6 linked regions of the Callithrix jacchus genome follow. The protein of the gene in region 1 interacts with the protein of each later gene in a pairwise test. Links are inferred from orthologs where the notes say so. Each region holds a gene or a part of one and is shown on either strand. Other genes may lie near its edges.

The links.
Region 2: the proteins of PTPN11 (region 1) and TLK1 interact in binary tests that used the Homo sapiens proteins (3 or more experiments, as listed by UniProt). The link is inferred for Callithrix jacchus from reciprocal best matches to the Homo sapiens genes PTPN11 and TLK1.
Region 3: the proteins of PTPN11 (region 1) and IGF1R interact in binary tests that used the Homo sapiens proteins (3 or more experiments, as listed by UniProt). The link is inferred for Callithrix jacchus from reciprocal best matches to the Homo sapiens genes PTPN11 and IGF1R.
Region 4: the proteins of PTPN11 (region 1) and RPIA interact in binary tests that used the Homo sapiens proteins (3 or more experiments, as listed by UniProt). The two-hybrid records come from large-scale screens. The link is inferred for Callithrix jacchus from reciprocal best matches to the Homo sapiens genes PTPN11 and RPIA.
Region 5: the proteins of PTPN11 (region 1) and TRIM32 interact in binary tests that used the Homo sapiens proteins (3 or more experiments, as listed by UniProt). The link is inferred for Callithrix jacchus from reciprocal best matches to the Homo sapiens genes PTPN11 and TRIM32.
Region 6: the proteins of PTPN11 (region 1) and GAB2 interact in binary tests that used the Homo sapiens proteins (3 or more experiments, as listed by UniProt). The link is inferred for Callithrix jacchus from reciprocal best matches to the Homo sapiens genes PTPN11 and GAB2.

The regions. Positions count from the first base shown.
Region 1 is NC_133510.1:115,404,142-115,408,876, forward strand, and holds part of PTPN11 (tyrosine-protein phosphatase non-receptor type 11), read left to right. Parts: intron 1-1,281; coding exon 1,282-1,474; intron 1,475-2,718; coding exon 2,719-2,835; intron 2,836-4,111; coding exon 4,112-4,225; intron 4,226-4,735. UniProt on the Homo sapiens protein: Acts downstream of various receptor and cytoplasmic protein tyrosine kinases to participate in the signal transduction from the cell surface to the nucleus. Positively regulates MAPK signal transduction pathway. Dephosphorylates GAB1, ARHGAP35 and EGFR.
Region 2 is NC_133507.1:58,525,288-58,530,022, forward strand, and holds part of TLK1 (serine/threonine-protein kinase tousled-like 1), read left to right. Parts: intron 1-2,404; coding exon 2,405-2,496; intron 2,497-2,578; coding exon 2,579-2,668; intron 2,669-2,819; coding exon 2,820-2,989; intron 2,990-3,178; coding exon 3,179-3,314; intron 3,315-4,735. UniProt on the Homo sapiens protein: Rapidly and transiently inhibited by phosphorylation following the generation of DNA double-stranded breaks during S-phase. This is cell cycle checkpoint and ATM-pathway dependent and appears to regulate processes involved in chromatin assembly.
Region 3 is NC_133507.1:11,000,850-11,005,584, reverse strand, and holds part of IGF1R (insulin-like growth factor 1 receptor), read right to left. Parts: intron 2,766-4,735; coding exon 2,598-2,765; intron 2,073-2,597; coding exon 1,868-2,072; intron 1-1,867. UniProt on the Homo sapiens protein: Receptor tyrosine kinase which mediates actions of insulin-like growth factor 1 (IGF1). Binds IGF1 with high affinity and IGF2 and insulin (INS) with a lower affinity. The activated IGF1R is involved in cell growth and survival control.
Region 4 is NC_133515.1:25,431,152-25,436,616, forward strand, and holds the start of RPIA (ribose-5-phosphate isomerase), read right to left. Parts: upstream 3,568-5,465; 5' UTR 3,528-3,567; coding exon 3,243-3,527; intron 1-3,242. UniProt on the Homo sapiens protein: Catalyzes the reversible conversion of ribose-5-phosphate to ribulose 5-phosphate and participates in the first step of the non-oxidative branch of the pentose phosphate pathway.
Region 5 is NC_133502.1:165,023,051-165,028,381, forward strand, and holds the start of TRIM32 (E3 ubiquitin-protein ligase TRIM32), read left to right. Parts: upstream 1-1,628; 5' UTR 1,629-1,980; intron 1,981-5,331. UniProt on the Homo sapiens protein: E3 ubiquitin ligase that plays a role in various biological processes including neural stem cell differentiation, innate immunity, inflammatory resonse and autophagy.
Region 6 is NC_133511.1:62,169,429-62,174,780, forward strand, and holds the start of GAB2 (GRB2-associated-binding protein 2), read left to right. Parts: upstream 1-2,211; 5' UTR 2,212-2,261; coding exon 2,262-2,336; intron 2,337-5,352. UniProt on the Homo sapiens protein: Adapter protein which acts downstream of several membrane receptors including cytokine, antigen, hormone, cell matrix and growth factor receptors to regulate multiple signaling pathways.

The sequences.
Region 1 (4,735 bases):
ATTCTCTTGCCTCCGCCTCCTGAGTAGCTGGGCCGACAGGCACATGCCACCATGCCCAGTTAATTTTTGTGTTTTAGTAGAGACAGGGTTTTGTCATGTTGGCCGGGGAGATCTCGAACTCCTGACTTCAGGTGATCTGCCCACCTCAGCCTCTCAAACTGCTGAGATAATAGGTGTGAGCCATCGCGCCTGCCTCTATTATAACTTTTTATCACAACTTCTTTGACTTTTAAAAAATTATTTATTTATTTATTTTGAGTTGGAGTATCGCTCTTGTCACCCAAGCTGGAGTGCAATGGCACCATCTCGGCTCACTACAACATTGGTCTCCTGAGTTCAACTGATTCTTCTGCTTCAGCCTCCTGTGTAGCTGGGATTACCGGCACACTCAGCTAATTTTGTATTTTTAGCAGAGATGGGGTTTCACCATGTTGGTCAGGCTGGTCTCGAACTCCTGACCTCAGATGATCCACTCACTTTGGCTTTCCGAGTGCTGGGATTAACAGACGTGAGCCATCGCATCCAGCTGCCATTTTTTTTTTTTTTTTTGAGGCAGGGTCTTGCTTGTCACCCAAGCTGGAGTGCAGTGGCATGATGATAGCTCTCTGCGGCCTTGACTTCCTCGACTCAAGTGTTCCTCCTGCCTCAGCCTTCTGTGTAGCTGAGATTATAGGCACATGCCACTATGCCAGGCTAATTTTTAATTTTTTCTTAGAGACAAGGATTTCACTATGTTGCCCAGCCTGCTCTTGAATTCCTGGCCTCAAGCGATCCTCCTGCCTTGGCCTTCCAAAGTGTTGGGATTACAGGCATAAGCCACTGTGCCTGGCTTATAACTTCTTTAAATGGCTGTGATTACATAGTTTAGTCCTTTTAAGATTGGGCAGTGGACGAATGGCAAATTGCATTTTTAAAAGAGGAGGGATTTTGAAGAAAACAGGAAAGATTGGGGCATTTGTCTGTAAAGGACTGTGGACTCACTTAAGTTTAGTGGTCATTCTTTCTTTTTTTTTTTCTTTCACTCTAAAATCTGTAACTAATGTTACAGAAAAATATCTCAAAAAAATAAAGAAAGATGGTCATTCTTACCATCTTTGTGGTTTTTCCTGCCTGCATGGGATGCACATTTTCTGTCTCAGGTGGGATTGATCAGTCCCTGGGAGGAATGTGTCTTATTTTTTAATTGTGTTGAGGAGAGCTGACTATATATAGTAGTTTTGTGAAAGAACAACATGAACCCACGGCAGAACTAAAGTCTTTTTTATTTTTAAAAAAATTTAGGTGGTTTCATGGACACCTCTCTGGGAAAGAAGCAGAGAAATTATTAACTGAAAAAGGAAAGCATGGTAGCTTTCTTGTACGAGAGAGCCAGAGCCACCCTGGAGATTTTGTTCTCTCTGTGCGCACTGGTGATGACAAAGGGGAGAGCAATGATGGCAAGTCTAAAGTGACCCACGTCATGATTCGCTGTCAGGTACATCTCAGTTGAACTATGGGTCTGGCAAGATGTTGTCTTTGGGTGATTTTTCTGCTGTAAGAAGACAGACACCATTACATTCAAAGTCAAATTGTCTTTTTAAAAACACTTCTTTCTTTCTTTATTTTTTTGAGACAGGGTCTTGCTCTGTCACCTAGAGATGGGGTTTCACCCCACTGGGTATGGTGACCCAAATCTTTGGGTGATTTTTCTGCTGGAAGAGGACAGACCCCATTACACTTAAAGTCAGATTTTCTTTCTTTCTTTTCCTTCCTTCCTTCCTTCTTTCCTTTTTTCTTTTCTTTCTTTCTCTCTCTATCTCTCATTCATTCATTCATTATTTATTGACTTATTCATTTGAGACTGGGTCTTCCTCTGTCACCCGGGCTGAAGTGCAGTGATATGGTCATGGCTAACTGCAGCCTCAACCTCCCTGGGCTCAGTTGATCTTCCTTCAGCTTCTTGAGTAGCTGGGGCTACAGGTGTGTGTCACCATGCTCAGCTAGTGTTTGTATTTTTTGTAGAGATGGTGTTTTCACCATATTGCCCAGGGTGGTCTTGAACTAGGGCTCAATAGGCCTGCTCACTTCAACCTCCCGAAGTGTTAGGATTACAGGTGCGAGCTACTGTGCCTGGTCCAAAGTCAGATTTTCTTTGCTCACTTAGTCAAGGTTGTCTATGCTTTTATTATACTTTAGTATATTAGTATAGTTACTATATTAGCATATTTACTATATTATTATACTTATGGTACTAGTATATTGAGTATATTTATGCTTTTAGAATATTTATATACACACACACCACATTTTTATTATTTATCTTTTGTTTTAAGGTGGAGTCTAACTCTGTTGCCCAGGCTGAAGTGCACACTGTAACCTCTGCCTCTTGGGCCCAGGCAATCCTTGTGCCTCAGCCTCCTGAGTAGCTGGGATTACAGGTGCCCACCACTGTGCCTGGCTAATTTTTGTGTTTTTAGTGGAGATGGGGTTTCACCATGTTGGCCAGGCTGTTCTCGAACTCCTGACCTCAAGTGATCTGCCCTCCTTGGCCTCCCAAAGTGCTGGCATTACAGGCGTGAGCCACTGCACCCAGCCTATTGTCTATTTTTTGATGGACATTTAAGTTGTCTCCATATGCTTGCTATTGTGAATAATGCTGCAGTGAACATGAGAGTGCTTGAAAACACTAATGTAACATAAGGGTAACAAATAATAAACGTCATCTGTTTAACTTGAAAGGAACTGAAATACGATGTTGGTGGAGGAGAACGGTTTGATTCTTTGACAGATCTTGTGGAACATTACAAGAAGAATCCTATGGTGGAAACATTGGGTACAGTACTACAACTCAAGCAGGTGAATGGATTGGAAAGCTCAAGCTTTCTCCTTAAAAACTTAAACAAAATCCTAATAGATAATTTTGCAAACATACAGAGGTAGAGCAGTGTCATCAGCTTCCATGTACCCATCACAGCTTCAACTTATGATCAACTGTTTTTTTTTTTTTTTTTTTTGCCACGGAGTCTCACTCTGTCACCCAGTCTGGAATGTGCAGTGATACAGTCTTGGCTTACTGCAACCTCTGCTTCCTGGGTTCAAGTGATTCTCCTGCCTCAGTCTCCTGAGTAGCTGGGCCTACGGGCACCCGCCACCATGCCTGGCTAACTTTTTCATTTTTAATAGAAATTGGGTTTCACCATGTTGGCCAGACTGCTCTTGAATTCCTGACCTCGGGTGATCTACCCACCTTGGCCTCCCAAAGTGCTGGGATTACAGGTGTGAGCCACTGCACCCGGCCCTAAATCTTTCTTATTATGACTTCACTCATCGGCTGCCTCCTGTAGTACTTAGAAACATATTCCAAATTTATATCATTCCCATATTTATCTGTAAGAGACTTTACAGAGGTTTTTTTGTTTGTTTGTTTGTTTGTTTTGAGATGGAGTTTTGCTCTGTTACCCAGGCTGGAGTACAGTGGTGGGTTCTCGGCTCACTGCCTCCGTGTCCCGGATTCAAGAGATTTTTCTTGCTTCAGCTTCCTGAGTAGCTGGGATTATAGGCGATACCACCACACCCAGTCAATTTTTGTATTTTTAGAAGAGACGGGGTTTCATCATGTTAGCCAGGCTGGTCTTGAGCTCCTGACCTCAAGTGATCTGCCCGCCTTAGTCTCCCAAAGTGCTGGGATTACAAGGCATGAGCCACTGTGCCTGGCCTACGGCAATACAGAGTTTTAAAGCAAGTTTTCATTATCGATCTACTTCTGGTTACCTTAAGGTAACCTCACTTGTTCACTTTGGCATTGTTGCTATTTCATAGTTCACCTTTGTGATAGTGGCAAATGATATAATATCTCTATAAATAATGTTGTGGTCTATTCATAAAGAAAAATAGGCTTAAATTTATATCAGCAGAGTGAGTAAAGTAAGTGTACGTGGATACTGAAGAAAGATAAATTTCCTGGCAGAACAGAAAAGAAACTGAAACTTTGAAAACTTTTATTGTGAATTATATGGTCTGCGAACCCTCTGTTCTTGCCTTTATGAATATCAACATAGAAGTTTTTTTTTTGCATTAACACTATTTTCTGTAAAATTTTCTTTTTTTTACGTCAACCGCTGTACTTGATCAGCCCCTTAACACGACTCGTATAAACGCTGCTGAAATAGAAAGCAGAGTTCGAGAACTAAGCAAATTAGCTGAGACCACAGATAAAGTCAAGCAAGGCTTTTGGGAAGAATTTGAGGTAAGTTATTAAAACTGTTTTTATGTGAGTTGTTATGTCCTATTTTTAGTGGAGGAGAAGTTGGTCTTATGTTTGGAATTGGACCTGAGAGACTTGAAACTGACGTTCTTTTTTAAATTCGGCCATTGATTGACGTGGAACAAGTTGCTGAGAGGGCTTCTTCGAAATAGAAGAGCATTGTGTTCTGAGGGAAGGGAGTTGGCAATGAGTAGTCAGTGGATGCGCCAACAGCTCCATTTGGCTCTTTTGGTTTTGACTGGTGGCAAAATCTCAAAGAAACAAAAGGATCTAATTTCTCTGGAAGATTTCCAACATACACTGGGGTCTTTAGAAAGAATCTGTGGCTTTACTGCAGCAAATGAGTGTGAGTAAAAGAAACACCTTGTGGTGGCTTTTTTTTTGAGACAGGGTCTCACTCTGTTGCTGAAGCTGGAGTGTAGTGGTGTGATTTTGGCTCACTACAGCCTTGGCCTTCCTGGGCTCAAGTGATCCTCCCACATCAGCCTCCTG
Region 2 (4,735 bases), on another chromosome or scaffold:
CTACTCAGAGGCTAAGGCATGATAATTTCTTGAACCTGGGAGGCAGAGGTTGCAGTGAGCCAAGATTGCGCTACTGCACTCCAGCCGGGGAGAGAGAGGGAGATACTCTCAAAAAAAGATAAAAAGAAATCCTTTTGCACAAGACAAAGACTATGCCCTTTTGGTTTACTCAACACAACCTGGTTTCTTGTTCTGATTTGGAAAAATTCTGGGAATTTGGATTTAGAGAACTTCAGTTCTGTTATCAGTTCAACCATGCACCTTTTTTTTGTTATTTTGTTAAATAAACATTCAGGGGTCTCACCTTCCTCACTCATCAAAAGTGATCTTTGAGCTCTCTTCCAATTCCTGTTCCTCTGATTCTATTGATAGTTCATCCTTAAGCACTTAATGAAAGTAGGCTTTTTATAAGGTAGAAAAGATTATCATGATAGTTCAGCTGGGATCTAAAAGTCACTGAAAGTGCAATTAGTGTTAGTGCGGCCTAAAAGTTGTTGAGCTTGTGAACTTATCATGAGCCTTCATAACAGCCCTCTGCTACTGTGTGGTTGTATTTTAAATAACTATTTTAGCCTCATAGGTAGGACTTTTGTAGAAGAGACTTACATAGAGATTAGAAAGTGCGTATTGAGGCCCAGTGACTTGAACTTTCTGTATTGATCTAAATATGAGTGGTATCTTTCTCTAAGGCCTTTAAAGCTCTTTCATGGTTGCCAGGTCTGTTGGAAAACAACCAGACAAAAAGCAGATTATAAATCAAGACGTTAAGAGTTGTATCTTATACCAAGGTGGGAGATGTTGATCAGTTGCTGAGTGATTGCCATATTAGCCTTGTGGAAAGGTATAAATCTTGGGAGGAAGATGTGTTATATGTAATTTATTATAAACAGTATACACTGATAATAACTTTTTATTGGTTATATACTTAGTTTTTTCTTTGATTATTCTATTGGGTATACAGTTTTTTCTTCGATTATTCTTTATTATGATTGCCTTTGAATTTAATTCTTTATAGATTTGTTCTGCCTTGTGTCTTACATAAACTTGTTTTTATTTTTTTCAGTTTCTTTATACTTAACGCTTAATATGTAATTAGCTAATGTTTCTTGGTTTTACCATGTATTATTCTAAATACCTCATATGGTTTACCCCCATTTAATCCTTTCAATAACCCTAACTTTGTAAGACTGAGGCTCAGAGAAGGTATTAGCACAGAGTCACTTAGCTAATAGGTGCATCCTATTGCAAAGGGAATATTCCTAACAACTGCATGCTATATTATATCTGATCTCATACTTTTACAAAAGTAATCCCTTTACTGCTTTGTACAAAAGTAGTCCCTTTACTGTTTTTTTTTTTGCCTCCTGCTTATTTTTAGGTTAAATTGATGGGAGAGAATGGGAACTAGGGACCTTCTTTCTAATAAATAGGTACGCTTTTACATGAAAGAGGCACCTTTGTATAAATCACAGTGGAACCAAAATTATTAAATGCCTCTTTAATGGCATTCAGTGTATTTTAGAAAAACATTTGTAAGTCATGTAAAGCCATAAAACACTAATAATTCTGTGTTTTTAATTTAAAAAATAGGCTGGTGATTTGAGCAAATCAAATGTAAATTCTTTTTGTGAGATAACCAGGGAAAAATTGAAGACAGGTTAGGTATTAGATGAGATTAAGGAATTACTACTGATATAGTTAGGTATGATAATGATATCTGATTATTTTTATTTAAATATTGCTGAGTTTACTGGGGAAAATAATGTATTTGTTTTAATAATACTCTGGTTGGGGAGGGTGGGAAGCAAGGATAGTAGGGAATAGATGAAACAAGAATGCCAAATATTGATAATTTTTGAAACCAGATGGTAGGGACATAAGGGCACATTATAGTTGTCTACTTTTGTATATGTTTGAACAGTTTTATAATAACTGTAGAATTTTTTTCAACAGTTGGAAAAAAGTAACTCTTAGGAACTTATTAATTTTTCTAAAAAGTGAAAAGAAGGGGGTTTCTAGGAAAAGATAGACTTAAAAGGTTTGTTTTACCCAACCCACAAAAAAAGTGGTACAACCATCTCTTTTCCTGGCTGCTTACTACCAATATAGAAGAATAAATCCATATTAAAAACAAACAATAGCTTTATTGTTTTATTTTTATTCAATGTATTGGCATTTATAAAATTTAACGTGAAAATTCACATTAAGGTTTTCTGATTTATTATAGAATTTCCATCTTGCTTCTGATAATAAAAAGGTCATTGAACTATATCTAATCTTAGTAGAGAAGATCTCTAAAAATTGTAGGGTTTATCCTAATTCCATATTATCATCAAAATAAAAAATGCCTCTTCAGCTATTCAATTGGTCTTTCATCTGAACTGTTTTTGACTTGAAATCCTAGGCTTTTGACCTTTATGAACAAAGATATGCTGCTGTGAAGATACATCAGCTTAATAAAAGCTGGAGAGATGAGAAGAAAGAAAACTACCACAAGTAAATACTAATGCTTTATGGTTTTTAAAAATGGAATATGTTTTGAATGATCATGGAGAGTTAATATACTGTCTTTCTGTAGACATGCCTGCAGAGAGTATAGAATACACAAAGAACTGGATCACCCCAGAATAGTTAAACTCTATGATTATTTCTCCTTGGATACAGATACGTAAGTGAATATTAAGGTTTAATTTTTAAGGAAAGATATGCTTGCTCTCTTTCCCCATCCCGTGTTGATGATATAAATACTATTTCCCCATTGTGATTCTGAATTCTTGGATAATACTTTTGTCTGACTTTTTTTCTCTTCTCTGTTGTAGGTTTTGTACAGTGTTAGAATACTGTGAAGGCAATGACTTGGATTTCTATCTGAAGCAACACAAGTTAATGTCAGAGAAGGAAGCTAGGTCTATTGTAATGCAGATTGTAAATGCACTAAGATATCTCAATGAGATCAAACCCCCTATTATACATTATGATCTTAAGCCAGGTAATTATGAAATTTGTCTAATATATTTTTAAGCTTGAGTATAGTTTTAAAAAGACATTCATTTAAGTTATCTGAAAACATGCTTTTTGGTTTCGTTTTTAAAACATCATAGACTACTAGTAAAATTAAAAATAAAGTTACTGTTTTTCATATATGCATCATTAAAAGAATCTTATATTTTATTCTTAGGAAACATCCTTTTGGTAGATGGAACAGCATGTGGTGAAATCAAAATCACTGATTTTGGTCTGTCTAAGATTATGGATGATGATAGCTATGGTGTAGATGGAATGGATCTAACTTCCCAGGGGGCAGGCACTTACTGGTAAGTGTGTTACTAAAAACATCAGAATATCTAGATTAGTGCCCAGTGTTTTTATGAGAATTAAGTCTTTTATTTCCATGTAGCCATTAAGATTTACTGTGGTGGCCAGGTACAGTGGCTCATGCTTATAATCCCAGCACTTTGGGAGGCCAAGGTGGGCAGATCAACAAGGTCAAGAGATTGAGACCAGCCTGGCCAACATGGTGAAACCCAGTCTCTACTAAAAATACAAAAATTAGCTGGGTATGGTGGCACTTGCCTATAGTTCCAACTACTTGGGAGGCTGAGGCAGGAGAATTGCTTGAACTCAGGAGGCGGAGGTTGCAGTGAGCCGAGATCACGCCACTGCGCTCCAGCCTGGCAACAAAGCGAGACTCCGTCTCAAAAAAAAAAAAAACGATTGGTGAAGGTACTGATACTAAGCTCCCAGTTGAGAGGGAGACTACTGTGGTCATTCCTCTTTTCTCATCTGTTCTTAACTGCAAATAACAGCATACTGGAGAGAGAATGACTTGGCATTAGGAAGTGACTTCAGTACCTGCCAGCCAAAAACTCCTAACAGGGAGAATTCATGGGTTTTCTTCTACAATGTTAGGGTGATGTTAATCATAAATATAAATACTTAGGTTAATATAATACTCTAACTATTGTAAGCAAAAACTAAGCATCAGGCCCTCTCTGGAGGTTATATGATTGCAGGGATTGGTCATTTTATTTTAGACGGGCTTGCTCTGTCACCCAGGCTGATGTGCAGTGTTGTGATCCTAGTTCACTGCAGCCTCAAACTCTTAGGCTCAAGCGATCCACCCACCTAAGCCTCTTGAGTAACTGAGGCCGCAGGCACATACCACTATGCCCAGCTAATTTTTGAACTTTTTATAGAGACAGGGGTTTTTTGTTGTTTCAGGGGTTGTTTTTTGGGTTTTTTTTTTTTTTTTTTTTTTTTTTTTTTTGAGATGAAGTTTTACTCTTTTTGTCCAAGCTGGAGTGCAGTGGTATGATCTCGGCTCACCCGCACGCACCACCATGCCTGGCTAATTTTTTGTATTTTTAGTAGAGACGGAGTTTTACCATGTTGGCCAGTCTGGTCTCAAACTCCTGACCTCACGTAATCCGCTAGCATTGGCCTCCCAAAGTGTTGGGATTACACGCATGAGCCACTGTGCCTGGCTGAGACAAGGTCTTAATTTTTTGCCCAGTCTGGTCTTGAACTCCTGGTCTCAGGAAATCTGCCTTTGTCTCCGAAAGTGCTTGCATTACAGGCATGAGCCACTGCACCTGGTTGGTTGTAGTTTTTGTGGAAGACTGACTTTCAAAAATCTCTTTTAAAGACTTGTTATGTATAGATTTTAATTTAGATATAGTCATAGATTCATAGACATAAATCTAAATGACTCATCCATTCAATATACCTATGTGTT
Region 3 (4,735 bases), on another chromosome or scaffold:
CCGGTCTTTAGTTCCCATTTTACTGATTTCTCGAAGTGAGACAGCTATTTCAACCATTTTGCAAATATCAAAAAGGTCACTTGGCAGAAAAAAAAAATCACTTTAAAAACCATTTGTTGTTATAGCCTAAGGAAGCCTGTAAGAGCAGAGTCACTGCGGATTAAACAGCCACTACAGGCTCCTCTCAGGGTCGGGCAGTGAGGGGAAGGGAACGTGCTGGGTGGGGTGCTGGCAGCGGGGCGTCGTGGACACCGTGGTTGGTGGGTGGCTCATGGGTACCATGCTGATCTAAATCCAACTCCTCAGCCTAGTTTTCAGGCATGAGGTCAGTTCCGAAATCTGCACTATTATCTTTCAGGAAGAGGGGCCGTGGGACCCCACTGTGCTTCCATCTCCTATCCCAGGCACTACTGGGCTAATCCTTTTTTGAAAGGAAAAAAAATTGTTCAGTATTTTTTATTGTGTTAAAACAAAATAAAATCTACATAAGGTGGCCGGGTGCGGTGGATCACGAGGTCAGGAGTTCAAGACCAGCCTAGCTAAGATGGTGAAACCCCATCTCTACTGAAAATACAAAAATTAGCTGGGAGTGGTGGCGCATGCTTGTAATCCCAGATAATTGGGAGGCTGAGGCAGAGAACTGCTTGAACCCGGGAGGTAAAGGTTGCAGTGAGCCAAGATCAAGCCACTGCACTCTAGCCTGGGTGACAGAGTGAAACTCCATCTTAAAAAAATACATATATATGTAAGATAAAATTTTGCCATTTTAATCATTTTAAGGGTACAATTCAGTGGCATTAATTCCATTCACAGTATGGTACAACTATCATCATTACCTATTTCCAAAAAGCTTGTCATCACCTCAAATAGAAATCTATCCATTATGGAATAATTCCCACTCCCCTCCCCACTCCCATTCCATGGTAAACTCGAATCTGCTTTCTGTCACCATACATTTGCCCCTTACATATGTTTCACACAACATAAAATCGGACACTATTTGTCCTTTTGTGTCTGGGCCTTGTTTCATTTGGCATGGTGTCTTCAAGGTTCATCCATGCTGTAACATGGGTCCAAATTTCCTCCCTTTTTGTGGCTGAATAATATTCCACTGTATGCTTAGAGCCCATTTTGCTGAGCCGCCCATCTGCTGACGTGCGCTGGGTCGTTTCCAGATCTGGCTCCTATGAACAGCCCTGCTATGAACACTTGCTTTCCTCTGCTTCTGTCCCCACTCCACAGAAACCAAGACCACAGCAGAGGAACAGAGTCCTTGGGGCAGAGGCCGCATTGCTCTGAAGGGCAGAGTAGCCACGGAATAAACAGCCACCACAGGCTGTCCCCCTACACTGCTTCCCAAACCTACTTGGAAAGGATGCCTGTGGCACCTGGCTATGTTTTGAAGTCAGGCCCCTTCCAACACAGACTCTGATTATTTTCCCTCTTGCCTCACTCCTCCTCTGTCAGGCTTGAGAGAGGCGGCAGAGAGAACTGGGAAGGGGAGAGATGGGCCCAAATCCCGGCTTTTCCTCTCACCAGGCAGCGGATTTCAGGGCTCTGAGTTTTCCCTTCTCTGCCTCTACCACAGGGTGCCCACCTGCTCTCTGTGGGGGTTGGGGCTGAGGCAGCTGCACCTGTCACATGGGTGGCCCCAGCAACCGAGCCCTGGTCCCCGTTCCCTTCAGGGCTGACCGATTTTCTCAGGGACTCACTTCCCTGAACCTGTCATCTTTTGTGGCTCCCTCTCAATGGCTATCATGCCGTGCCCCGCCACTGCTGACTTACACACTACCTGGTGGGGAGAAAGGCAGCAGAACCCGCCTGAGCAGCAGCTTCTGCCAACTGAAATTTCACGTGAGCTCAGTACCTGGGCACGAAGATGGAGTTGTGCAGGAAATTCTCAAAGACCTTGCGGTACTCGGCCTCCTCCTTCTCCGCCTGCTTCTCGGCTTCGGTTTTGGGGCAGGCACAGCAAGGCCCTTTCTCTGTGCCACACACCTCAGTCTTGGGGTTCTCTGTGACCTCCTCAACGTCAATGGAGCCGCCAGCGTACTTCCTGATGGGGATTTTGTCTTCTCGGAAAAGAAAAGCCAAAACAAGAGTGGGATGAAAGCTGTTACACATGCCTGTGAGGAAAAATCATAGCGCTCAGCACCTTTCATCAAGAATACAGCCAGTCTTGGCTGGGCACAGTGGCTCATGCCTGTAATCCCAGCACCTTGGGAGGCCAAGGCGGGTGGATCACTTTAGGTCAGGAGTTCGAAACCAGCCTGGACAACATGGTGAAAACCCTGTCCCTACTAAAAATACAAAAATTAGCCGGGCATGGTAGTGCATCTGTAATCCCAGCTACTCCGAAGGCCAAGGAATGAGAATTGCTTGAACCCAGGAGGCAGAGGTTGCAGTGAGCTGAGATCATGCCACTGCACTCCAGCCTGGGAAACAGAGGCTCTGTCTCAAAAAAAAAAAAAAAAAGATAGCTGGTCTCCAACAGAGGACTACGATGTTACCTGATACATGTAATATTAGGGATCAGGTACATTCAAACCCTGTGAAGGAAGAGTCATGCCCTCGGTCCAGGCCGCTGCTGCACCTACCTTTGGAGCAGTAATTGTGCCGGTAAAGGTAGCCGTCCTGAGGCTGCTGCTGCCAGCGCACGATGTAGTAGCTCAGGTTGCCGTTGGGCAGGGAGGGCGGGTTCCACTTAACAATTAACTGAGAAGAGGAGTTGGACGCCGAGAGCACATCCAGGGGAATGGAAGGAACTGCAAGGGGGAACAAAGAACATTCCAGAAAATGAAATGAACTGAAGATTCCGGCTATCAGGTACTCTGTGCAAGTCACCACCAGGAAACGGCAAGTTTGACCGGGATAAAAAATAACAATGAACAATGGAATACAAAGGGAAAAGTGAGCCTCACTCTGAAATAGCACCACTTCAAACGCCAGCATTTCCCTTTATGATCTATTTCCCCACGTAATCTCTGCGAAAACAAACATTACTAAGTTGTAAATGGAAAAAGGCTTCGGGCGCACAAGCAGGGTTAGAAGAGACGTGAAAATCAACACCCAATTCAAACACCTGGTATTTCTGATTTATTATCTCTGCTGTTCTCCACAGCGCTGAACTCCAGCCGTTTCGACAACTGGTAAAGTAGACTGACTTGGATTTCATCTGAGATTTCGAATCTCTGATAAAAATGTCACGAAGCCGAAAGGAAAAAGGGGAGTGGAAAGGGGGCTGGAGAGCCTGTGCATGTGAAGGAGTATGTGTGCCCATGTCCCAGCTGTGTGTAAGAGGGATGGGGGTGAGGCAATGCAAAGAACATGGAGTCCACCATTTCCACACACATCCTTCAGTAGGCTGACCGAGGCATGACTCTGAAAAGCAGTCTAAAACTGCAAACGCATGGAAGCCTCATTTCAAGCAAAGGACTCTGTCACTAGCAGAATGAATGCTGATTATAGGCAGAGCACTGTTATCTGATCAAGCTTTAGTTATGCTGACCCCCGAACCCAAATCCAGAGCTGATGTGTGCATAGGGGTCAAATGTATCCTAGGACCACGGAAATCATGTCTTTATTGGGTTTACAAAAAAGTATCAATGTTGACTGCTTTTCCAAAGCGCGGGACACACATTCACTGGATATCACTTAAGCAACATGTTCACCTAAGCCATTTTTAAAACTTGAAAAGAGTGGGCAGCTTGAGGGTGCTCCAGGCTATACAATACACACAAGGTTCTGAACATCTTTAAGGGATGATACTTTGGAAAGCGGTTATGACTAATACTAGGGTTTTCAAAGGAAACATAACCACTTCATGCTCAGCCACTTTAGGGTTTCCGAAAATAAAGACTTCAAAAACAAACAGCTCATTCCAAGATGCATTCTTATGATAGGTGTCACAGAAAAAGCAGACGCAGAGGACCAAGTTCTTCTCCGTGTGTAAGGACGGGGGAAAAAGGTAGTAAATGGACTCCTTTGTACAGTGCCTGGTTTCCATCTTTGCGGAAAGGAAACAGGTTTCTTGAGAATCTGTCACAATAAGCAGAGATTCCTGTTTTCCAAACGCTACAGTGAGCTGCTGGTCAGGGTTACTTCCACATTTTAAGATGAAAAACTTATTGTGTTGCATTAAGCCTCTGCTACACCAACACACACCCAGGATCAGAAGCCTGTGCCAAATTTATTTGTATCATCACGTTACCCAGTGACATGACTGTGGCCATGCACAGGATCATGGAAATAGGGTAGGAGGGGAGGAAGCAGCAGGAATGCACAGCAAAAGGTTCTCCCTGCCAGCATTTTATCCTCACCTCCTCTCTGCCATTTAAACTCATTTTGTGCTAGCTTGTGAGTATTTAAAAGTACCTTACCCACTAAAATAATGGCTATTATAAAAAAAATGTTTCAGTGCTGTGGACTGAACGCCTGTGTCCCACCCCAAAATTCACAGGTCGAAATCTTAACCCCTAAGATGATGGGATTAGGAGATGTGGCCTTTGGGAGGTGACTGGGTCATGGGGGTGAAGCCCTCATGAATGGAATCTGGGCCCTTCTATGAGAGGCCCTGAAGAGTGCTCTGGCATCCCCACCACCATGCAATGACAATGAAAAGACAGCCATCTATGAGCCAGGGAGTGGGCCCTCTCCAGACACCAAACCCACCAGCACCTTCATTTTGCACTCTGGGACTTCGGAACTGTGAAACATTTCTATTGTTTATAAGCCA
Region 4 (5,465 bases), on another chromosome or scaffold:
CAGCTTCAAGTTGGAGTTTCCACAACCCCTTCTCTGGGTTTAATTAACTTGCTAGAGTGGCTCACAACTCAGGGAAACACATTTACCAGTTTATTATAAAGGCTATGATGAAGGATACAGATTAAGAAATTCATAGGGCAAGACATGTAGGAAGGGGCACAGAGCTTCCACGCTCTCCAGGCACACCATCCTTCAGGGACCTTCACATGTTCTGCTCTCCAGAAGCTTCCAAACCCTGTACTCTTGAGCCTTTTGGAAAATTTGTCGAATAAGCATGATTGGCTTTTGGAAAAGACCAGGAATTGCAAGGGCCTAGAAATGTGATTGGACAAAAAAGGGTACAGATTGACTGGGGAAACCCTGTAAGTGCTGTCTGTTCAGATTCTTCACCTATCTGTACAGCATTCCTTCCTCCAGGGTATGGAACAGGAACCCTTCTGAGATGGGGATCTTATGACCTACGATAAGACAACACAGGTCACAGAATTTCTTTACAGTCAGCTCCAAGACAGAAAAGCACTGGGGAGAGAAAGGAGCAAGTGAAAGGAGGACAGGAGAAGGTGTGAGAGGGAGATTTTCTTCTGAGGCCTAAAGCACCCCATATATAACAAAAGATTGCAGCAAGGGCTATGGGTGTTATGAACCAGAAGCCATGGGTAAAAACATTGTGTGTGTGTGTTTAAAATATCACACTAGTTAAACTTAACCTGACCTTCACACTTGACCTGAAGCTAGGAAGTCTAGCTTTACAGTAATTCAATCACCAAACTCCTGGTTACCAAGCTTATCCATACATTCATGTCACTCACAGTCCCCAGAAGGCAGGTAGCAGAGAGACGAACTTGGATGAATCAGACAAGCTCTGTACAAGGCTCCTTCTTTGCCTTTTGGAAGAGACCAGTAATTGCAAGGGCCTGCCAAGCCTAAAGCTCTTCAACCACGTAATCGCTGAGGCCTTGGAATCAAATGACTGGCCTAGGAATCAGTGCCCTTGCCAAAGCCAACCAGAGGTGACCAAAGACTGCCTATGATGCAGCCCAACAGCAGAAGACTACCAACCAGGCCCTGCTGGAGGAGTGGCCCCATTCTAATGGGCAATATTAAACCACATGTATGTGCAACATCAGAACTTCACTCAGCTTGTCGAATGGAGTAACTTTGGAAATACATACTACTGCTAACCAACTAGAATCATTGTCCATCAGCTTCCTCAACCAAGCCAGTCAAAAAACAAAGCCCAAGCTCCAAAGAGAACAAAGGGATGAGGCTACAGATGTTCAGAAGAAAGTAGATCTGCAAAGCGACCCATCCTAGATGGCTACACCCCCAGAAACAGACAGAGCTGGGTCCAGGGTGGCTATACAAACGATTCACCTGAGAACTCTCAGTCTTCCATCCACCCAGACATGGAAGTTGTTACCATATTGGAACAACAATGGACTAGGGAACAGGAAGTGCTACTCCCCAGAAATTCTATACAAAGAGCCTCCAATAACCCCAATACTTTCATATTTGTGTCCACACTGCACACAACTGAACAAACATTTACTGGGCAGTCCCCACTGTGACCAATGCTAAATGAAGGTTAACTACCCTCCAGGAGCTTACCCTTTAAGGCGCTGGAAGAAATGAACACACAGATGATGAGAACATAAAATACAACATAAAGCATGCAAGTGGCATGAAGTGCTACAGAATCACAGAGAAGAAATCTCCCTCTCCTTAGAATGCTAAGGCAAAACTGAAAGGAGGAAATGGCCTTTAAGCCAAACCCTGAAAGGCATACATGATTTTAACAGGTGCCCCCGAAAGGCCAATGTAGATCTCCCCAAAATCACCTGCTAACTTCATGAAATGATGCGGTCAGAATCCAGTGTTTTGGGGCTCTAGCCTAAGGTTAGGGCTTGCAGATTTTTATTTAACCAAATACATAACTATAATACAAGTGTCAGGGAGATGTGCCACCAAATATTAATGTAAATTCGTTAACAGGAAAACTTGGATATTGGGCTTTTCTAATTGTATTCTCATGTGGATTTCATTTGTCCGTTAGCTATTCACTTTATGCAGATATTTTGAATTTTCAGCTAATTGTCTCAACTTTACAACTGAGGCACTGAATCCCAAAGGTAGGGTCAAATTAATACATTTTACATTATCTCTGTTAATCCCCATAGAAAATCCTATTGCCAACCAGACTTGCAACAAGCTACACCAGAACAGGGCAGGAGTGGAAACGGTAGAAGGGCACACTGGTACATCCCTTCTACAGAACTGGCTGAGCCACAGGTTACCACACTGGCCACTCCCACTCAAACAGGCTGTGGTGAAGCTCATACAACATCATCTAAGCAAATTAATTATGTAGAGCAAAGCATTAACAGATGTAAAGAACTATCATCAGAAAAGAAAGGGGAAATCTAATACCACTTTCTAATAAGTAGAAATGGGAGATAAAAAGACAGTAAGACCAAGGAAACTACACCACAGGGCAGACATACTCCACTAGGTTTCCTTATTATAATTAACATAACTAACTTGATTGGTGACAGCAAAACCACTTGGATTATAAAAACTCCACTAATAGCACCATATCCACCATTTAACAAACAAGTAGGGGCCACGGCCTGAATAAATAACAGCTAAACATCTCCGCAGCCCGGCTTTAAAAAAAAAACAAAAACAAAACAGCATCCTCCAGACTTAGTCCACCCCGCCCTATGGAAAGAAAAAGGTATGAAGCCCCGGGTCTTCCCTTCCCTCCAGGAGTACAGTCAGGGGCCGGTGCGCACCAAGCCAAGAGCCTCCTTCAACTCAAATTTCAAAGTACTAGCAAACCAACTCTCCGCTGGCTTCCGGGTCCGTAAAGAGAAATGAAAACCGCTCCGCAGCCCCAAAGCCCACCATATTCCTTTTGTTGATACGGAGGCCACAAGGCAAGTGCCTCTAGCCCCCACTACAAGCATCAGACGCCACCAGGCTCCCCTGTGAAAACTGCTCCAGCTGGACAAGGAATCTTTAGAAAGCTCAAGTATAAGAAGATTCGCCCCTAACCGATTCTACTTCTAAAAGGTCTTTAAGGAGCAGGGAAGAGGGGTCTAAACTCCGGTAAAGTGCACACCCTCTACCCTCTCACTTAGCACCCGCCCTGCCAGGAGCTAGGCGCGCCCCGGCAGTACCCAGAAGGCGCAACAGGAGCCCAACACGCCGAGAACATGTGCCCCACGCCCCGAGGAGCTCACCCTCACGTGGTTCTCCACAGCCGCGCGACCCGCCAGCTTCTTGGCCTCCTCGGCCTTGGACATCGTTGAGGGGGCCGGGCGGACGCTGTTAGAGTCCCCGCAGCTGGTGCTTGTGTTGCCAGCACCGCCGCGGGTCCCGGACTGTGCACGCCCCGGCAGCCGCACGTGGGAACCCGGGAGGTCCCAGCTGTTCCCTCCTCCGCCTGAGACCGCGCCCCCGGCCCTCCCGGGCAGCGGGGCCAAGACCCGCCCGTAGAGGGTGCTGAAGGGCCCGGGGCGCTGCATCCCGACGCCTCGCTCAGGCCTCCGCTGAGGTCCCGCCCCTGGCTCGTCCGGAAGTCTGGTCACTTACGTACACGGTTTGTGTGCCCTGCTCCGTGGGCCTTGCTGGGAAATGTAGTTCTATCGCTTCAGCGACCCGCATCTGCGCCTCAGTCTGGACTACCAATCCCATAATGCTCTCCGTGACCGGATGCGCAATTGCAGGCGACGGCCTCTGGCGCGTCGCTCTATAAAGTACGCTTAGACGCGGGAAGATCCGTTTATGGCTCCTTACTCGAGGGACGTGTGCTTATGTCACCGTTAGGGATGTTTTTCATCTGGGAAAGGACTGTTAGACTTGACCCTGTTGTTTCTCCCAGCAGTGAGAATGTGGCCATGGACTAGACCTCAGAGTAGTGACTCTTCCGTAGACGACACGGCCCTTTGGAGGTGACTACTCCCTAGGAAACTCACATGCGACACCGGCGCCAGCTGGTTTATCTAGACCAGCACAGGCCCAAGGTCACAAGTTGAGAAGTACTTCTTGCTGTAGACAGTCTTCTGCACCTGGTAGCTGCACCTTGCTCCACCCATTACAAGGACTTTCTATGAAAACAGATTTCTCTTTATTCTCTACCTTTGAAGGTTTCTTGCTGTTGAGAATAATTAAGGGATGAGGAATTCTTAACTGCCCCCATTTTACAGAAGAAGAAACTAATGCTGACCCCAACCTTACCGACCACCTGGAGGCCCATACAAACACGTGACCTTTGTGTTTCTCAGCTATTAGTGGAATCCTTTCTGTCTGTTCATGAACTCATCTTCAAATGCATTCCAGGCCTTCAGAACTCACGTGTGCAAGTCCCTGGTATGGGCCACTGCTACTGCCACTTATCACCTAGATTTTCTAACTATGCTGTGCCCCCTGAGGCCGGGAGCTCCTGAGTCTTCACCTTTGTCTGTAGGAGGAAAAGCTGTTTGAGATAACATTTGAATATTTGAATCTCAGCACTTTGGGAGGCCATAGCAGGTGGATCACCTGAGGTCAGGAGTTTGAGACCAGCCTGGCCAACATGGTGAAACCCCATCTCTACTAAAAATATGAAATTAGCTGGGTGTGGTGGCACATGCCTGTAGGGCCAGCTACTCAGGAGGCTGAGACGGGAAAGTTGCTTGAACTGGGAGGTGGAGGCTGCAGTGAGCTGAGATCACACCACTGCACTTCAGCCTGGGTGAGACACAGTGAGACTTCATCCCCCCCCAAAAAAGTGGATACTGTTATTCCCATTGGCATAAAAGAAGTCCTCACTTAATCAAGGTCACACTGCTTATAAGCAAAGCTGGGATACAAACCTTCGGTGATTCTAGGACCAAACCCTGATCTAATAGAATCACCTAGATGGGGATTTATTAATTACCCCACCACATCACCAATATAGCACGAACTTTGTGTAAGCCACACATGTAATGGCTTTTCTCTTTAAAGCCACAAGTAATAGCAGTAAATCTTAAGACAAAATGGTTAAGAAGGGGAAAAAAAACTATAAATGAGGAAGTACTAAATGAAGGTAAGTACACAGGTTTTGGATGTTGGACTAGATTCAGGGTCTGACAAAAGTAAAATCAATCTACTTTATAAGTTAATCCACTAAAAAGCCTTTTTTCTTTTTTTTGAGTCTTGCTCTCTTGCCCAGGCTGGAGTGCAGTAGTGCAATCTCAGGTCATGCAACCTCTACCTCCTGGGTTCAAGAGCTTCTCTTGCCTCAGCCTCTCAAGTAGCTGGGACTACAGTCATGTGCCACCACACCCGGCTAATTTTTTGTGTTTTTAATAGAGACAGGGTTTCACCATATTAGCCAGGATGGTCTCAGTCTCATGATCCATGCACCTCAGCCTCCCAAAGTGCTGGAATTACAGGCGTGAGCCACAGTGCCCAGCCAAAAAGTCTTTTTTTTAATTACA
Region 5 (5,331 bases), on another chromosome or scaffold:
CAGTATAATAATTCATTTAACTGGTAAGTAATTTAAACATTAAAAAAAATTCAAACACTGATTTTTTTTTTTAAGAGAGAGGAGTTTTTTTTTGTTTTTTTGTTTGTTTTTTTCAAAACACTTGCTTGAGATAGATCCCCAGGAATATTTTTAACACTTTTCTGTCATTAGGGAAACATCGATATGTCTGTATTGAGATATATATATATATACACACACACATACATATACATATAACATGTATATGTGTAAGACTACGAACAGTCCGAAATTTATACATTGGGCTGATAACTGTGGTTTTCAGGAAAAAAGAATGCAAAGTCTCCCTAACTCGTATAAGAAGGGAGTATAAGTGAGAAAGCATTTGGCACCGCCTCTCCCTTATCCCCTACTTGCTAATTACAATTTTTCAAATACAGTTACCAACTGCAAACTACCATAATCTTGGTTTATCTTCATAGCAAACTTCATTTAGAAATTTAGAAAATGGGGAGAGAGAGTAAACAAGGTTAAGAGAGTGGGTTCCCAGATAGAATCGGGTACAAATCAGGGCTCCAACAGGCACAGGTTTGCTGTGTAACCGCCTAGGTTACACAACAGGTGTAGGTTAACCACCAGCTGCCTTATCTTATGAAGTCCTTAGGAGGATTTAGTGAGCCACGCACCTGAAGTCCTTAGCTATAGCCAGACAGCAAGTATCCAAAGGTGTTAGTTATTGTTTTTGTTCATGGTTTTATCATTGTGCAAGGGTCGCATAGCTAAGTGGAATTTCAAATCCAAGGCCATCCTACTTCAAACTCCTTTGTGCTCCTAAGCTATGCAGTATAGTCACCTTGGAGAGCATGCGATTGTCCCCAAACTACCTCAGGGACTGCAGGTTATGGCCAGCCAGTCCTCTATCAGACCTCGTCCTTGCCAGATGCCTAGTGCCCCAGATTCCCTCAAATCTCAGGCCAGACAACTTCCCACCCGGTAAGACTCCCCCACCTTCACCCCTGACTCTCCAAAACTAGACTTGGTGTGGGTTCCCGGGAAGCTCTGTCTGCAGGGACAGTATTCCCCACGTCTGCGTCTGCTGTCGACTTCCCAGCTGAGTAGGCAAAACATTCATTCCTTTACAGAGCAATGTGTTCATGGATAAACTTGTCTCTAGCGCAGCTCTGTGTCAGAGCACAGAACATGGAGCCCAAGCACTGCCCTTCCCAGGGAGTCCCGGTTCTCGACTTCCCCAGGATGGAAGTTTGATTCTACCGTTGGCCCATTTCTTTGATAGAAAAACTGAGACTCAGCGAGGTGCCAAGGCTTTGATTAGGACTACCCTGGAAGCCACGGCTTTGTAAGGGGTAGACATTGGGACTGGAGTCAGAAACGCGTTCTGGCTTATCTCCTGACTTACTGAATGAACTTGAGCAGGTCCCTTTCGCCCGTGGGCCTCGGTTTCTTCATCTGCACAACGAGACGGAAAACTGGATTACGTGTAGCTAAGGCCCCCGGGTTCTCAGAGGAATGCTCACCCCTGCAGGGCCGACCGGCCCCGCGGCACTACAAGACCCAGCTTGCCTCGGGGGGCGGGGCTCAATGACTGACAGGGAGCTCTGCGAGTTGCCGCCCGGCAAGGGGCGCTCAGCGGCGCGTGCGCAGAAGGCGGCAGGCGGGTGGGCTGGCGGCGGTGGACTCGTTGGAGCCGCGGGCGGTCAGGTAGGGGGCGGGAAGGAGGGTTGGGGACCAGGGACCGCGGCCGGAGTCGTGGGCGGTGGCACAGTAGCGGGGCGGAGGGCCGTGCCGGCGAGCAGCGGCCGCGCCCGAATGGCAGAGTCTGTGGACCGGATCTGAGGGGCAGGACTGGGGTGGGGGTGGGGCTGCTAGGGGCAGGCTCGGGAGAGATTCATGGGGCTGAGGAGATCCGAGGAGATGCAGCTGGGGGAGGGGAGCGAGGTGCTCTGAAGAGATTTGCGTTTGAAGCATTTCGGGAGGTATGAGGTAATGTGGGGGCCGAGAGGAGAAATGGGGTGCAGCATGTGGGAGATGGGAGGGAATCAGGGCCCTGGAGGGACCTGGGTGCAGAATTTCAGAAATATGAAGGAACTGGGGACCCCCGATGAGATTTAAGGGAATCTGGGGGCGCTAGGCATCTGGCAAGGACAGGGTCTGAGATGATAGGAGCAAGGTCTAGGTCGATCCTCAGTGCTAGTGAGAGAGGGTTTTCGGAGTGGGATGAGCGTGAGATTGAGGGGATGGGGATGAGTTCTTGAGGGACTCTGTCTTGTTAGCAGAAAGAAGGGACCTGGCTGAACTGTGAAGCCAGCATGTGACATTCAGTGCGTAAGAGGAAGGAACAGGGTTTGAGAGCGGCACAGTGCCTGATGGAATGCAGGAGATGGGGGGCTCAGAATGAGGGAGAGCAGAAATCAAGTGTGGAATTGGGCCGTTGAACTGAGGTGCAGGGCTGAGTGCAGCAGAGATTTGGAAACAGGGATTAAAGGATCTATGTCCGAGGGATTTGGGGCATAGGAGTGAGGAATTGATGAGGGTTGCAGTATACAGCGCCAGAGATTGGAATTTGGTATTGTAAGAGGGTTGGGGACAGGGTTTGGAGAGGATTGAATCATAGGGTAGAGATGTCCTAACTGGGCTATAGAATCAAAAAACCCTGAGTCGGTTTGTGGACTGGTGTCTTGGACTGCTGAAGAGATTTTCCTTAAATCGCTGCATGGGAGACAGATGGAGTTCAGGGGACCCAAGGACCTAAAAGTAATGTATGATATAGATGAGTATATGAAGATGAGCAGAGTTCAGGTGTTGAGGAACGAAGTGATACATCTTCAGTTCAGAGATCCTGAAGGAGTGTGGTGATCCTTGTGAAGGGCAGAATCTTCTTCATTTATTAAACAAATATCCATTATCATGAGGCAGGTATGGTATTGCCACTAACTCCCCTCTGACACCCCCAGGCCACTGAAAATGGTGGGCTTTGGGGAAGAAGAAATGGAACTATTCAAGGTCATCTACCTAAGCCCCTTTTCCTTGTACCCACAAGCTGCGATAGCAGATAGAATGTGAGACCTCCAGGGGAATAAGTGGAATAATTAATCCTATCTAAGATCCATTACAGCTTGAAGGGGCGGTGCCTCTGTGAATGAGGTGTTTGGGCTCTGAGAGAGACAAAAATAAAAGGGAACCCTTATGTATTGAGCATTTAGTCCTGTGCCAGACTATAAAGAAGTGGTTCTTAACCAGGGGTGGTTTTGTCACCTTGGAGACATTAGGCAATGTCTGGAGATGTTTTTTGGTTGTCACAGTTAGGGTGGGGAATACTACTGGCTTCAAGTGGGTAGATGAAACATGTTAATGTTTTATGTTAATGTTAAACATTTGATAATGCATGGGATAAGCCCCTGCTCCCCAGTAAGGAATTATCCTGCCTAAAATGTCAGTACTGCCAAAGTTGAGGCACTCTGCCCTAGAGTCAGATATCCTGGGTTCAAGCCCTAGCTCTGTCTCTTCCTGACTTTGTGGCCTTGAATGAGTTACTTAACCACCCAGTGCCTTGACTCTTCACCTGTAAAATGGGGTTATGATAACGACCTATGTCACAGAATTGTGAGGATTTAGTGAAATAAATTAGCATGCCTAGGATCTGGCACATAGTATGTTCTCAAAATCTAGTAACTTTTAGTCTTATATCTACTTCTTTATTCAGTTTTCGTATCTTTCTAAGTAGGCTCTGCTGTTTTCAGTTTTACACGAGGGAACTAAGGCTTAGGAAGTGACTTGCCTAAGTTTCCATAGCTAGGAATGACACATAAGCTCATACCCAAATCTCTGTAGCTCTGTATATTCCCTTTTTCCTTGCTACTTCCTTTCTAAGGCCTGCTTAGTCTTATTTTCTCAGCCCATTCCCCTCTAATGAAAAAGAGGATTGCCCAGTGACTATCAAAGACGGGGTGGCGGGGTGGGGGGGTGGGGGGGCGGAGAAGGTAAATCTCTCTGATTAGGTAGGGAGGAGCCCTGGACTTTGTTCTTGGTTTGCTCTTAGACCAAGACCAGGGGCTAGATAAGGAGACGAGTTTGAGGTTACCAGGCAGAATGAGGTGCAACAGACTATGGGGTGAGGTATGGAGGCCGTTGGCTTGAGAAAACACCTCATAGCAGGGACTGAGGCTTAAGGCATTCATATTCTGAAGGAGAGTAATCACTGTTCTGTGTGATCTCTTTTGGGCTGCTTTTCCCTGGAACAAAATAATAGCATTGGCTCTATCATCTCCAGGACTAGCTACAGCGTTGCTGAAGCCAGTTCAGAAACAAAGCTAGACTGCATCTGACTGCTAAGGTTTAGCTGGAACATCCGCGCACATCCCTAAAAGAAAATATGTCATGGGAATTCAGTCAGCCCTGTCTAAACTCCTTACTCTGTTGCTAATTTCTTATGCTACTTGGACAAGTACTTGTCCTGTCACCCTCAATCTATTAAAAATGCACATGATGATCATTTATTGAGTGCTTATTATGTGTGTTATCTTAGTGAATTCAATCATCCTGCTAACATTCTGGGTTTTATTCCTTGTTTACAGATGAGAACGTACCCAGGGCTACAGAGCAAGTGGCTAGGGTTGGGATGCAAACCCAGTTCTGTCTTATTCCTATGTTACATTATAGTAGTTTTCTTAGAAGGCTTTTCCAGCCCTTCAGAACCCCTATGTTTATGTCTGGAGAGTAGTTGGAAGCCAGAAGTTTGTAAGGCCCTTAAAGTAGATCATTGTCTATGCACACTGATGTGTAACCTTTGTGACATTCCCTTCATCATGTCTTTCTGGTAAAACAATCAAATTTAGAAATCATTTCTAGGAGCCCTTACCAACATATCAGCCAAACTTTGTCTAAAGCCAGGAAACTATACAACATCCTTTAAGTTAGTGATTTTATGGCTGGGAGTTGAAACTGGGATTTGAATCCTTGTTCTGTTACTTACTGGTTTTGAGACCTTGGACAGGCTACTTTTCTCTGAGCATTGGTTTACTTGTTTTTGAAGAGGAATGACACATACTTTTACATGGTTATTATGATAATATGAGAACGTATAAAACATGCCTGACAATAAGTAGTAGTTGAAGACAGTTACCAATTATGAGAGGAAGGCAGTGCTGAAAGATAAACTAAGTGTTGCTTTGTCAAATTTATTTTTTTATTTTATTATTTGTATTTATTTATTGAGACAGGGTCTTGCTGTGTCACCCAGGTTGCAGTGCAGTGGTGCAGTCACAGCTCACTGCAGCCTTGACCTCCTAGGCTCAAGTGATCCTCCCACATCATACCTCCCAACCACACCTGATT
Region 6 (5,352 bases), on another chromosome or scaffold:
TTCACCATGTTGACCAGGATGGTCTCGAGCTCTTGACCTCGTGATCCACCCGCCTCGGCCTTCCAAAGTGCTGGGATTACAGGCTTGAGCCACCACACCCGGCCTATCAAAAGATATCTAAAAGATTTCTGGGGGAAGATAGGGCATACATCTGCCTGACTTGCATCACAAACCTCAGCTGCAGCCAAACCATGCAGATTTCTCCGACTCTGCAATCCCTGGAACTTGGCACCATGACTCAGATGTGAATGAAGTCAGAATGGCTTTATTTTGGTTGGGAGTCACCACCTCCTGATTGATTTGGCAGACGTTAAGTACTCTGTCTTACCGGGATGTAAGGTATCTGAAGCCAGAAGTTAAAATGGCCATCATTCTGGTAGTGGCCCTTCATATGTGACTTAAGGACCCCTAAATTGGAAGGTTAAGGGAGCTCTGATCCCAGTCTAACAGTTCTGGCTTTACTTCCCATCCAGCAGTACACTGGATACTGAAGAAAGTTAGTGAAATGTTAGATCCAGGGGACTGACCACTAAAGCTCCCAGGGTATCTAGAAGAACTAAGTACGTGGTAGGAGATTGATTCGCTTTTCCAAACTGAAGAGGGTGAACTTCCCCAACCCAACCAAGATCTGTTGTTCTAACTGCTTGAAACAACTAAGTGCCACAGACAGAAAAAAATAAAACATCTTTAGTCTAAGATTGTGTGGGGCAGTGCAAGATGCTGCTTATCCAATTCACCTGTCCACAAAGCACGGTTCCCCGTTGAAAAAACTTCTCAGAGAAGTTAGGGAGGACCTGCCTTTGTTTTTTTTTTTTTTTTGAGACAGTCTCACTGTGTCGCCCAGACAGGAGTACAGTGGTACTATCCTGGCTCACTGCAACCTCCGCCTCTCGGGTTTAAGCGATTCTCCTGCCTCAGCCTCCTGAGCAGCTGGAACTACAGGCACGCCCAGCTGATTTTTGTATTTTTAGTAAAGATAGGGTTTCACTATGTTGACCAGGCTGGTCTCGAACTCCTGACCTCAGGTGATCCACCCACCTTGGTCTCCCAAAGTGTTAGGATTACAGGCGTGAGCCACCGCACCCGGCCAGACCTGCCTTTTAATGCAGCTTGGAGAGGCAGTTTGTGATGAGAAAAGGGCTCATACAAAAGATTTTTTTTCTACCCGCTGAAGTGCTGGGGTTGTGCGCTTCCACGAACATCTGGGAACCCTCACTGCGCAATAAGAGGCTATCATTGTATTTACAAACAGAGGTCTCATAGCCTGTGTCAATGAGCGGGAACGCTGGGGAATTTTGACCCCAATTTCTTGTTGTTCTACGCTTGACCTTGCCTTTCAATTCACTATGACTAGTTTTGCTTCTTCCGTTCTACGAATCATGCGAATTTTCTCTACTAAACTGTGTTTTCCCAGAGGCAATGTGGGAGGGAGTCAGCTGGACTTTGTTTCCCCGCAACGAGAGGGCCCCAGGTTGATCCCATTGAGGCACGCCCTCATTTTGAATAGCAAATGAGCGGGTCCCCTCTTCCCCCACACACCTGAATTAGAAACTTGGCTCGGCTTTGTAAGAGCCCTGGCCCTTAGGCTGTCCGTAAAATAGGAACGACTCTGAAGACAAGCCTGTAAGCCACGAGTGCAAAGGCTCCCGGCGCGTAGTAGGTCCGTCTCCTCCTGGCGAGGGGCGCCAGAGTTAAGGAGCTTCTTGCTGGGAAGGGGTCCCTCCTTTCAGCCGGAACCTGACCCGCGGAAATCTGAAACTCCGGGAATAGATCGGAAACGCGAGCAGCCCGCCGATCCCTTCCCCATCGACATTCGGCGAAAAATCGATCGAGGGCGCGCCCTCCCTTCCCCTCACACCCGCTAGCGCCAGGGGCGCGGCCGCCTCCCCAGCCTCCGCGCCCGCGGCTTGAGGCCTCAGGAGAAAGCGAGACTCCCGGGCGCGCCGGCGGCGGCGGCAACTGTGTCCTCGCGGGTCCCCAGCCCCGCGTCCGCGTGCGCGGCCGCCTCGGGGGCGCGGCGGGAGCGGGCGTGGCGAGCGCGCCGGCCTTCCTACTGCAGCCGCCCGCCCCCAGCCGGGCTGCGAGTGCGGACTGAGCGCGCTCGGGGCGGGGAAGCGGGCGCGCGCCGCGCCGCCTCGTCCCCGCCAGGCCGCCGGCCCCGCCCCTGCCCTCCCGCGAGCTGCGCACCGCCGGCCGCTGCCCCAGCTGCCCGAGCCCGCGCCCTCGTCCGCACGACCAGGCGGCGGGACCAGGCCAGCAGCATGAGCGGTGGCGGCGACGTGGTGTGCACCGGCTGGCTGAGGAAATCGCCCCCCGAGAAGAAGTTGAGGCGCTATGTGAGTGCGGGAGCGGCCGCAGAGGGGCGGGCGGCCGGGCGGGGGGCGCCCCGGGGCCTGCGGAGGGGCGGGGGGCTCCCGGAGGGACGGCAGGCTGGGGAGCTGGGGCCCGGGGCCGCGGAGGCCGGGGCGAGAAGCGGCCCGGGGCTTGTGGGGCACCTGCACACCTGTCACAGGTGCGCCGCCGAGGGGCGGGGCGGGCGGCAGGTTGAGGCTGCGGCTCCTGCTCAGCCTGGCGGGCGCGGCGGCGCTTCCCCAGCTGGCCTGCCCGTAAACTAAATATAGTACCGAAGTTTGTATTGGTGGCTTCTGGAGACCGAGAGAGTTGACTCCCGGGGCTGGGCACCGCTGCAGCCGCTAGCAGCTTCAGCCCGCAGGGTCGGGGAGTGGGCGGGAAAGGGGGGCGTAGGCTTTGGGGGCGCGCGGACGGCCCTACAAAGGGCGAGCGCCTCACGCCCTCTCCTTCCCTTTCTCCTCCCGCCCCTCCCAGCCTCCTGCCTCCGTTCGTTCGCGGCTGCATCACGGGCAGCGTCAGCGGCATGTGCAGCTCTTGTATTAAGTGACTCATTTGTTTGTCCCCCTTCTGTCCCTTTATTCGGTTCGTCTCTCACAGGCGCCTCCCTCGACCCCGGTGTGACACTGCAGTTTAGTCCCAGTGGCTGGCCCGGGCTTGGGACCGGGCAGCTCCTGAGTGTCTGGGTTCAGGAGAGATCGAGACTCTCCGCGGCCAGGTGTTGCCAACGGACAATGATTACTGGCATCGCTGGCACAGCCTCTTCCCTCTAGGTGGGGAACTGGCAGCCTAGGGGAGGTAGCACGGCGTGGCGCCGAGCGGTGGAGTTCTGGCTCTTTTTTAACCCTCTCCCTAAAGGATGCCTTCCTTGGTGAGGTCAAACTACACGATGGTGCCAGTTACTGAGGTTTGGCCGAAATGGTCCTGGGGTAGTCGCGCGAGTTTGGAAATGGGGATAAGGTTTCTGGAAGGCTTCAAGGTCTCTCATCTGCTCCCTCTCCACTTCCCATGAAATGCCCTTGTTTAACAGGCTGTGGGGCCGGACTCTGGGATCACTCCCACAGCCTGGAAGGGAGCCGTTGCCTCCAGCTGCAGTGCATCAAGGGAGCTCGGAATAGACCCTGCCCTCTGTCAGCTGCACCAGTGTCTGTCCACGGGGGGAGAGGCAGAAGCCTACCAGAATTTCCTGTCTTGGCCCCCAGATCAGAATCAAGGGACTTGTGGCCTCTGGACTGAGGAAGTGACTTTCTGTTTTTCAAAGGAAGTGTTGTTGTTGCAGAGTGCAAGTGTGTGTGTCAATGAAATTAGGCGATTACGTAGATTTTTGCTGGGAAAAAAAAAATCTAAGGATTTAGCACATGACTTTTAAAAGTGGATGTGGATTTATAGGAGGGATGAAGCAGTAAATTGTTTATCTCAGTTTGAAAGCTCATTTTTAGGGGTGTCTATGTAGCCAAAGTATAATTGTTAAGAAATTAACTTTTTTCCTCTTAAGGGTTGTATCAGTTCATTAGCAAAGTTGAATATTTTAATTAGAGTTAAGGAACAGTCGTTTACTATTAACAATTTTATAAATATTTTAGAAACTTTGTCCCAAAGAGCTTCCAAAAATTACCTATACAAATAGATGCCATATCAGCTAGTGGCATAGTGTCCACAGCAAAAAATATGACCCTTAATTTTCAAATTTGAACACTAAAGAAACTTGAAACTTGTTTTTGAAACAATTTGCAAACAGTGTGACATTGTATCCACATTTGATTTATCACTCCTTGAACTCTCACCCAGACTCTTTATGACCCATTTCTTGGGTGTTTTTGTTCCCAAACAACTTTAGTTCAAAATAACCACCTTCGAAGGCGTTTGGGTCAAGAACCTTTTTACCCGCTTGAACGAATCTAGAGTCATATGATGACCTCAGCCTCTCCCATCTTTCATGCACCTCCAGCCCATCAGGTGTCAGAATTTAACAGCTTTAAGTCACAGCTTTTTGTAGGCTTGGTTGTTTAATGTTCACTTACATGACTGGAAGCCTCTGCCCTGTGGAAATTGTTTCACCCCAGTTGAAACTGTGCTGATATGTGTAACCCTAAGCTTCTGGGGAACAGTAGGCCTTTACATCTACTTTTCTTTTTGGGTATTGAGAATTTTTGCATCCTGTTGTAAGTTAAAACTCTGCTAGTTTGCTTATTTCAGTGGAGGCCCAGGTTCATTAGAACCAAACTTGGAAAGTATTTTCAGCTCCACTGCTGTATATTTACCCACAGTAGCTGATTTTTCTGGTATACATCACAGGCATGTTATATTGTAGATTAAGAAATCCTGATTGTAAGAATGCATCAAGAATATGAGATAAGGTGAAAAAATGATTTATGAACTAGGTTATAACTATTTAAAACGATTGTTTTAAAATCTGATTTGACTTGAAGGCTGGGCGCAATGGCTCATGCTTGTAATCCCAGGACTTTGGGAGGCCAAGACGGGTGGATCACTGGAGGTCAGAAGTTTGAGACCAGCCTGGCCAATGTGGTGAAACCCCATCTCTACCATAAATACAAAAATTAGCTGGGCATGGTGAAGGGCACGTGTAGTCCCAGCTACTCAGGAGGCTGAGACAGGAGAATGGCTTGAACCTGGAAGTTGGAGGTTTGAGCCAAGATTGCACCACTGCACTTCAGCCTGGGTGACAGAATGAGACTCCTTTTCAAAGAAAAACAAAAAACTTATATTTGAGGGGTAAAGGGGGACATGTAGAGGGGAAAAACATCTTAGGAAAAGCAAATGCAAATGTTTGAGCAATTAGTTTTTAGGGATTTTTTTTCATCAGCCTTTTCTAGTTAATTGTAAGTATAAAAGATCTAGCTTCTGTTTGCTGAGAGCCCCAAAGAAATTACAAAAAAATGACTGGAAAATGCTGAGTATTGCCCCTGTGGCCTCCTGATACAGTTGCAGTGGGAGGCTGGCAGAAGTAACAACCCTCCTGTCTGCCTCAGTGTATTTGTG